Tribolium castaneum: one gene and its partner. The protein of the gene in region 1 purifies or fractionates together with the protein of each later gene. This does not show direct contact. Links are inferred from orthologs where the notes say so. Each region holds a gene or a part of one and is shown in the gene's direction. Other genes may lie near its edges.

What was found.
Region 2: the proteins of Mcm7 (region 1) and Cdc6 purify together in Homo sapiens (affinity purification with western blotting; 3 studies listed by BioGRID). This does not show direct contact. The link is inferred for Tribolium castaneum from reciprocal best matches to the Homo sapiens genes MCM7 and CDC6.

What each region holds. Positions count from the first base shown.
Region 1 is NC_087398.1:9,869,995-9,873,920, forward strand, and holds the start of Mcm7 (DNA replication licensing factor Mcm7), read left to right. Parts: upstream 1-1,647; 5' UTR 1,648-1,754; coding exon 1,755-1,785; intron 1,786-1,837; coding exon 1,838-2,207; intron 2,208-2,255; coding exon 2,256-3,055; intron 3,056-3,104; coding exon 3,105-3,316; intron 3,317-3,595; coding exon 3,596-3,926. Other genes in the region: PolA1 (DNA polymerase alpha catalytic subunit), read left to right, coding at 1-769, 819-1,027. UniProt on the Homo sapiens protein: Acts as a component of the MCM2-7 complex (MCM complex) which is the replicative helicase essential for 'once per cell cycle' DNA replication initiation and elongation in eukaryotic cells.
Region 2 is NC_087398.1:392,898-396,559, forward strand, and holds Cdc6 (cell division control protein 6 homolog), read left to right. Parts: upstream 1-900; 5' UTR 901-1,087; coding exon 1,088-1,809; intron 1,810-1,991; coding exon 1,992-2,847; 3' UTR 2,848-2,935; downstream 2,936-3,662. Other genes in the region: RpL41 (ribosomal protein L41), read right to left, coding at 29-94, 358-369. UniProt on the Homo sapiens protein: Involved in the initiation of DNA replication. Also participates in checkpoint controls that ensure DNA replication is completed before mitosis is initiated.

The sequences.
Region 1 (3,926 bases):
CAATTGTCGAAAAACCCCGACCAGTACCCGGAGGACAACACGTTACCACACGTCCAAGTGGCTATCAGATACAACAAGCAAGGGGGGCACTATCGGGCTGGGGACACCGTCCCTTATCTGATCTGTGACGATGGGACGAAAAATCCGGCCACGCAACGCGCTTACCACATTGAGGAATTGAAAAATTCAGAAACGCTCAAAATCGACGTTACTTACTACCTCGCTAATCAGATTCATCCGGTGGTGAGCCGCATTTGCGAACCCATTGAAGCGTTGGACCTTGTGCAAATATCCGATTGTCTCGGGGTCGATAGCAGCAATTTGAGAAAAGTAAAGGTGGACGATGACAACGGAGAGAACGTAATAGATCCGGAAATAAAGTTCCGGAACGTCGACAAGTTTGTATTTAAATGTTTGGTTTGTGAGAGCGAAAACACCGTTGATGGTCCATTTTCTAACAATATTCCGGTTTTACAAAAGTGTCAGAATGCGCGCTGTAAGGCCAGGCCGGCCGATTACGTCCCCTTTATCCAAAATCAAATGACCGAAACGATAAATTCCTACATCGAGAAGTTTTATTTGAACGAAATGTACTGTGAGGATCCGATGTGTTGCAAGGAAACTGTGAGGATTCCGTTGAGCTCGTCAGGACGGGTTCCCTTTTGTCAAGTTTGTAACTCAGTCTTGATCAAGAAATATTCGGGTTTGAGTCTGTTCACGCAGATTACGTATTTCCAATACATTTTCGATTTGACTAAATTGAGTAAAAGTGAGTGGTTGAGGGTGAGATGAGTTCGAAATTGATTTTCTGTTTTCAGTGCCATCGCTGGAGCTTCAAGTCGAGAAAGCTTACCATGAAATAAAGGAAACTGTAGAAAGGCGTTACGAGTTTTGTGGCTTTTCGACCGTTAAGATGGAAAATATGTTTGCTTGGTGCGAACACAGGAAAAAGGAACAGGAGGATGAGGAAATTCCAGATTTTGCGATGGAAGAAAGTCTGCTTAATTTGATGTTGGAAGATGAGTGATTTTTATTATTGTACATTGGAATTATAAATGTTGCGTTATTTATGTACTCGTAGTTAAGTAAATTACAAATCTGGCGTAAAAATTCGTTGCTTAAAAAACCTACCTTTAAATCATTTGTAGTCATTCTGCGGTGGCATTTCCAGCTTTTTTTTGTGGCAGCACCTAGTTAATCTATGACCTAGCTCCCAAGAAATCCCCGAAGTAATTGAAAAGCGTGAAGCCTTTTTTCTTGTATATCTTTAACCATACGCGTATTGAAAAATACAGAACGAAGGGCAAATTTTAAATTTTCTCATGTTTTTGTCTGAAAATTTTAGTTTTTTGTTTTTTTTGCATTTTCACCATGTAATTAATTAGTGAATTGATTGGATTTAAGTTAATTTAAATCGTTTTGGCGCCGAAACGGTTTGATGCTCGAAGCGCCTCATTTTTACTCATTTGCCGTACTATTTTTTGGTTCACAAAGTCTCATTTCGTCTCCTAAATTATAGTCTCCGTAACAATTACCATTTTATTTGTGATTCTAACTTCTTATTATTGTATTAATTATTAATTTATGAATAAATTGAATTTGTGAATGTGTAGCCAACAAAACAAACCTAAATTCCCACTACTTCCCTGTTTTCGCGCCAAAACTGGCGTGTGTTGTGTGCAAACAGGTGGTCGTAAATAAACGTTAGTAAAACTCCAATTCCGGCTTGAAGTAGTGTAAATTCGCCAAAAATCATGAACCGACGTGATTACGACAAAGATAAAGGTGAGTCCAGTCTATAAATGGTTAATTTCCACCTTACCGGTTCATGTTTTAGAGACCATAAGAACCTTCTTGTTAGAGTTTTGCATTCAAGATGATTCCGGTCAGAAAAACTTTAAATATTCGAATCAGTTGACAAAACTGGCTCATCGCGAGCAAATAGCCCTTTACATCGAGCTTGACGATCTTTACGAACACGACGATGATTTAGCCAAAGCTGTAATAAACAACACTCGTCGGTACACGACTTTATTCTCCGACGTTGTCTTCGAACTGTTGCCCACATTCGTGGAACGCGAAGTCGTGGCCAAAGACGCTTTGGACGTTTACATTGAACACAGGCTAATGATGGAGCAGCGTTTGAGACAACCGAACGAGCAGAGAGATGCTCGTAATAAATTTCCACCGGAATTATTACGCAGATAGTAAGTTAAAAGTACCAGTTGGGTGGGCACTTTAAATTGGCGTTTTAGCGAAATCTACTTCAAAGACTTATCAACTACTAAAACCGTCCCAATTCGCGAAGTCAAAGCCGAACACATTGGGAAACTGGTCACCGTTAGGGGCATAGTGACGCGAAGCACCGAAGTCAAACCTATGATGACCGTAGCGACCTACACTTGCGACCAATGCGGGGCTGAGACCTACCAACCTGTCCACGGACTAAGTTTCATGCCGGTGTTGATGTGTCCTAGTGAAGACTGCCGTGTGAACAAATCAGGGGGGCGCCTATACCTCCAAACCCGTGGCTCCAAATTCGTCAAATTCCAGGAGCTCAAAATCCAGGAACACAGTGACCAAGTCCCAGTGGGGCACATCCCCCGGACTTTGACTATTTTTTGTCGGGGCGAAGTCACTCGCCTGGCCCTTCCGGGGCACCACGTGGCCGTCACAGGCGTGTTCCTCCCTTTGCTCAAGACCGGCTTCAAACAAATCATGGGGGGGCTCCTGTCGGAGACTTACGTCGAGGCGCACAGAATCGCTTTGGTGAACAAAACCGAAGAGGATGAAAGCTCGTCCAAACCCCTCACACCTGAAGAACTATCGGTCTTGACCGAAGACGATTTTTACACAAAATTGGCGGTGTCTCTAGCGCCGGAAATCTACGGTCATCTTGACGTTAAGAAGGCTTTGCTTCTTTTGCTGGTTGGGGGAGTGGACCGCAGACCTGACGGTATGAAGATCCGGGGGAATATCAATATTTGCCTGATGGGGGACCCCGGAGTCGCCAAGTCGCAACTTTTGGGGTACATTGATCGGTTAGCGCCACGAAGTGAGTCAATGGTTTGAATTTGATTGGGTTAGTTTAGGGGTTGTTTCAGGTCAGTATACCACAGGACGGGGCTCTTCGGGAGTGGGGCTCACTGCCTCGGTTATGAAGGACCCCATGACGGGGGAGATGATGCTGGAAGGGGGCGCACTGGTCTTGGCCGATCAGGGGGTTTGTTGTATTGACGAATTCGATAAAATGGCGGATGCGGACAGGACGGCCATTCACGAAGTTATGGAACAACAAACAATCAGCATTGCTAAGGTAGTGAGATTTTTTATTGTTAACGTAAAAAACACCATTTTATTCCACATTTACGGCCCCACATTTAAATTCTGACGGTTTTTCACACTTTTGCCCAAAAACTTGGACAAAATATCAGATTCAGCATCGTTTTTGAATCGTATTTAGCGTATTTGATGAACCGCCAGTTGTTTCACTACCAACGTTACAGCACCGAATGCCATGGCGCCTAATCCAAATGTATTTAATTGTTTATTGTTATTAGTGTATTTTAAATTGCAAATTGCTTGTTATTTTCAGGCGGGTATTATGACTTGTTTGAACGCCAGAGTCTCGATTTTGGCGGCGGCTAACCCGGCCTATGGCCGGTACAACCCGAAGCGGACAATCGAGCAAAATATCCAACTACCGGCGGCCCTTTTATCCCGTTTCGATCTCCTTTGGTTGATTCAGGATAAAGCGGATCGCGATAATGATCTGAAACTCGCCAAACACATCACATACGTGCACCAGCACTGCAAACAGCCCCCGACTCAAATCAAATCGCTTGATATGGGCGTTATGCGGAAATACATCGCACTGTGTAAGTTGAAAGAACCGGTGATTCCCGAAGATTTGACTGAATACATCG
Region 2 (3,662 bases), about 9.5 Mb from region 1:
AACGAAATTAAAACCACTTACATGAAGTCTACTTAGACCTCGCACGCATCTTCCTGCGCTTTCGCTTTAGCCTTCGCATACGCTTCTTACGCCACTGGAAAAAAATTAAAATTAATTTGTGATTATCAAACTGAGGTTACAAAATTAAGTCATATTGGAATTTGGCCAATTTCCACAACAATTGCTTTAAAAAATGTTCACGTAACAAGATAATTTAACAATAATTTTGCTTATATAAATTTTAATACTATCACAAAGTGGAAAACCGCCTTTTTGTCTCAACAATCAATTAACATTATTCGACTTTTTCTCCATCATTTGAGAAAAAATCACAAATAATATTGTTATAACACTCACCTTCGCTCTCATTTTGAGCTGTTAAAAGAATTCCTAGCTCAAAAAGCCAGAAGATTCTTAAAATAACAGCAAATTTTTTGAGTGAACCTCACACAACAAGAAATAGCAATGAAAGAGGATGTCGGTAGGGGAATTCGGGATGTTTATGCCGACGTTTCTAGAAAACTCCGCCAGGGGAACACTACTACTTCCGGAGCGCGAGCTTTAAGCAATCTAAGTAAAATTTTGTTTTTGTAATTAAAAAAGCAACTATAAAAGATACATGGAGTATCCACTTTCACGATTTTGACCCTATTGACATGACACTAAAAAAACTTTAAGCAATTTATTAAAAACAATCATATAAGGATAATCATCTGAGCATTGTAAGCCTACTTCAGCAGGCTGTATATTTAACCTATTCTTAAATAATTAATTAAAAAGATACAAAATACACTAAATACTAGTAAAAATGCGTGAAATAAATGCAAAACTGTACAAAAAATACTAAAGTTTAAGTAATAATCGTAGTAAAGTTGCTCAAATTAGTTCAAATGCTTTTATTTACTTGGGCACGTGACCTACAGTATGCGTTGGCGCGAAAAGCGCGAAAAGTGACAAGTGTCAGTACATGGTGGCTGTTTTAACCCTCATTAAAGTGCCATTATTATCTCATTAACTACATAAAAGTGGTGATTGCAAGCTTCCCTTGCTCATAATTTTAGAACTTTGATTTGTGTGCCTCATCAAAATGACTCCGGAACCACGTACCAGAAAATCAACAAGACTTCACCTGAAGCAAACTTCTTCAGAATCAGTGAACACTAGACGAAGAACCCGAAAACCAATCATAATATCAGATAGTGAAGAAGAAAATGTGCCTGAGACCGAGAAATCGCCGTTCAAAAAGCCCCCAAACACCCCCTACAAAACCAAATCCAGAACTCCCCCCGAAGATCGGACTGTGACGCCCCCCAAACAACGCAAAATGAGTGAAAATAATGAGAATCTACAAACTCCCCCATCCACACCCACAATTTTGCTCGAAAGACTGTCGCTGCTGAGTCCCAACGAAAAATCAAACCGGAAAAAGTTATTTCAAGAAGACGATTTGTATCAGAATGCCAGGAGAGCTTTACACAGTTCATGTCCCACGAATTTGCCAGGTCGTGAAAAGGAGTTGGGGGATTTGAAACAGTTTATTTTGCAACATTTGGACGAAGGAACTTCCGGTACTTTGTATATAAGTGGGCCCCCAGGAACGGGCAAGACCGCTTCGTTGAACTTGGTTTTGGAGGATCCTCAAATCTCATCAGGGATTGAACACGTTTATGTTAATTGTACGTCGATCAAGTCCTCAGGGTCGATTTTTTCGAGGATTGCCAAGGATTTAGGGATTAAGGCCAGTGGGAAGAGTGAGAAGGATTACGTGGGGGCGATTGAGAAGTTCCTTCAAAAAGGACACAGGACGATGTAAGTACTACTTTTTATTTAGTTCAATTGCGAATTTTTTTTCTAAATTGTGCCAACAATTTTCTACAAAAACTAATTAAGCTCTCTTCTTTTTTATTATTAATAAATTAGTATATTAAAATAAAGTAAAGTATTAAACATTAGTAAAATTGAAATATTTCATAAGAGTTGTTTTACTGCAGTCTGCTCGTCCTTGACGAGATCGACCAATTAGAGAGCAAAAAACAGTCGGTCCTTTACACAATTTTCGAATGGCCAGCAAATCCCAACTCGCGCTTGATTCTAATAGGGATTGCAAATGCGCTAGACTTGACCGACCGAATCCTTCCTCGTCTGCAGGCCCGTTGCGAGTTAAAACCCCAATTAATGCATTTCGCTCCTTACACCAAACAACAAATTGTCGAAATATTCACAAATCGTTTGAAAAATGCCAATGTTTTGGACATATTCTCGCCAATCGCCTTACAAATGTTAGCGGGTAAAGTAGCCGCAATTTCGGGGGACGTTCGGCGCGCTTTAGACATTGGGAGACGAGTAATTGAAATGTCTGATAAGAAAAAACGCGGTGAATGTGTGCTCAAATCCGTTGAAAATTTAGCAACGGAATTGGAGGAGAAAAAGCTTGAAAGTGTTGATATGAGACAAGTCGTTCAAGTTTTGAACAGAGTCTACGGAACGACGCAAAGTCTGGATGAGGAAGTTGAAGATTCGTTCCCGTTGCAACAGAAAATTATTGTTTGTTCGTTGTTGTTGATTTTGAAAAAGGCGAAAAATAAGGATGTGACGATTGGACGACTGCATGATGTGTATAGGAGGGTTTGTGCCAAAAGGAATATTCAAGTTGTTGATCAAGGCGAGTTTGTCGGACTTTGTTCCCTGATTGAGACCAGAGGGATGGTGAAAATTATTAAAAAGAAGGATCCTAGGATGAACAAAGTTAGCTTGGTTTGGGACGAAGGCGAAGTTAGTGCCACTTTGAGGGACAAACAGCTGATGTCCATGATTTTACAGGACGATAGTTGTTTAGGCAAAATGTAATTTTTTAAAGACTGTTCCTGTCGAATAGAATTTTATTTATTGATTGTAAACACGATGTAATGTTTCTTAAAATAATTTTTTTTTTAAACTGTTTTGTTTTATTTGCGAATAAGCGGTAAAGATTTTGGTTTTCCTATTATTGCAACATTTATCTGATGTTAGCTTTATCTTATCTTTTTCTTTGAATCCCATGCATGCATTCCAATATTGATAAATTGTTTAAAACAATTACGATTTCGGCCCGATTCACTTTTATTGGATGATTTTTTATTTATCGCTCTTGCATAATTATCAAGCAGACAAAGCTATTATTTTATTTAATATTTCATTTTCCTAAATACTAAAATTGCCTCTTTAGGCAAATAATTTAATTGTTAAAGTTCTCAAGAAAACTCAAACACTCGCATTTAAATTCCAATTCGTCATGAATTATAAACACCGACAATTTAATTTTATTAGGTCAAGCATTAGTTAGGAACGCTCGAAATTTACATTTTTAATGGGGTGGCCACTCTGTATAGTGATCAATATTCAGAGATGCCATTGCTTTATTATTAATTTCTTAATAAGTACGTCGATAGTTTCATAATTGCTATGTAGGGCTGTAATTGCTTAAAAATTCATTCGCTACTATCAAGGCACGCATTCATAAGATAAAGATTTACTTGACTTTAGAATAAAAGGGTAGAAAAAAACGACAAAAAATGCAATAACTCATATATTCTCTGTAAACAATATAATACAACAATAATGGCAAAATTTGGCATTAAATGCTTTGGCGTTATTAATTAATAAACCCATGAAATGACGAACGA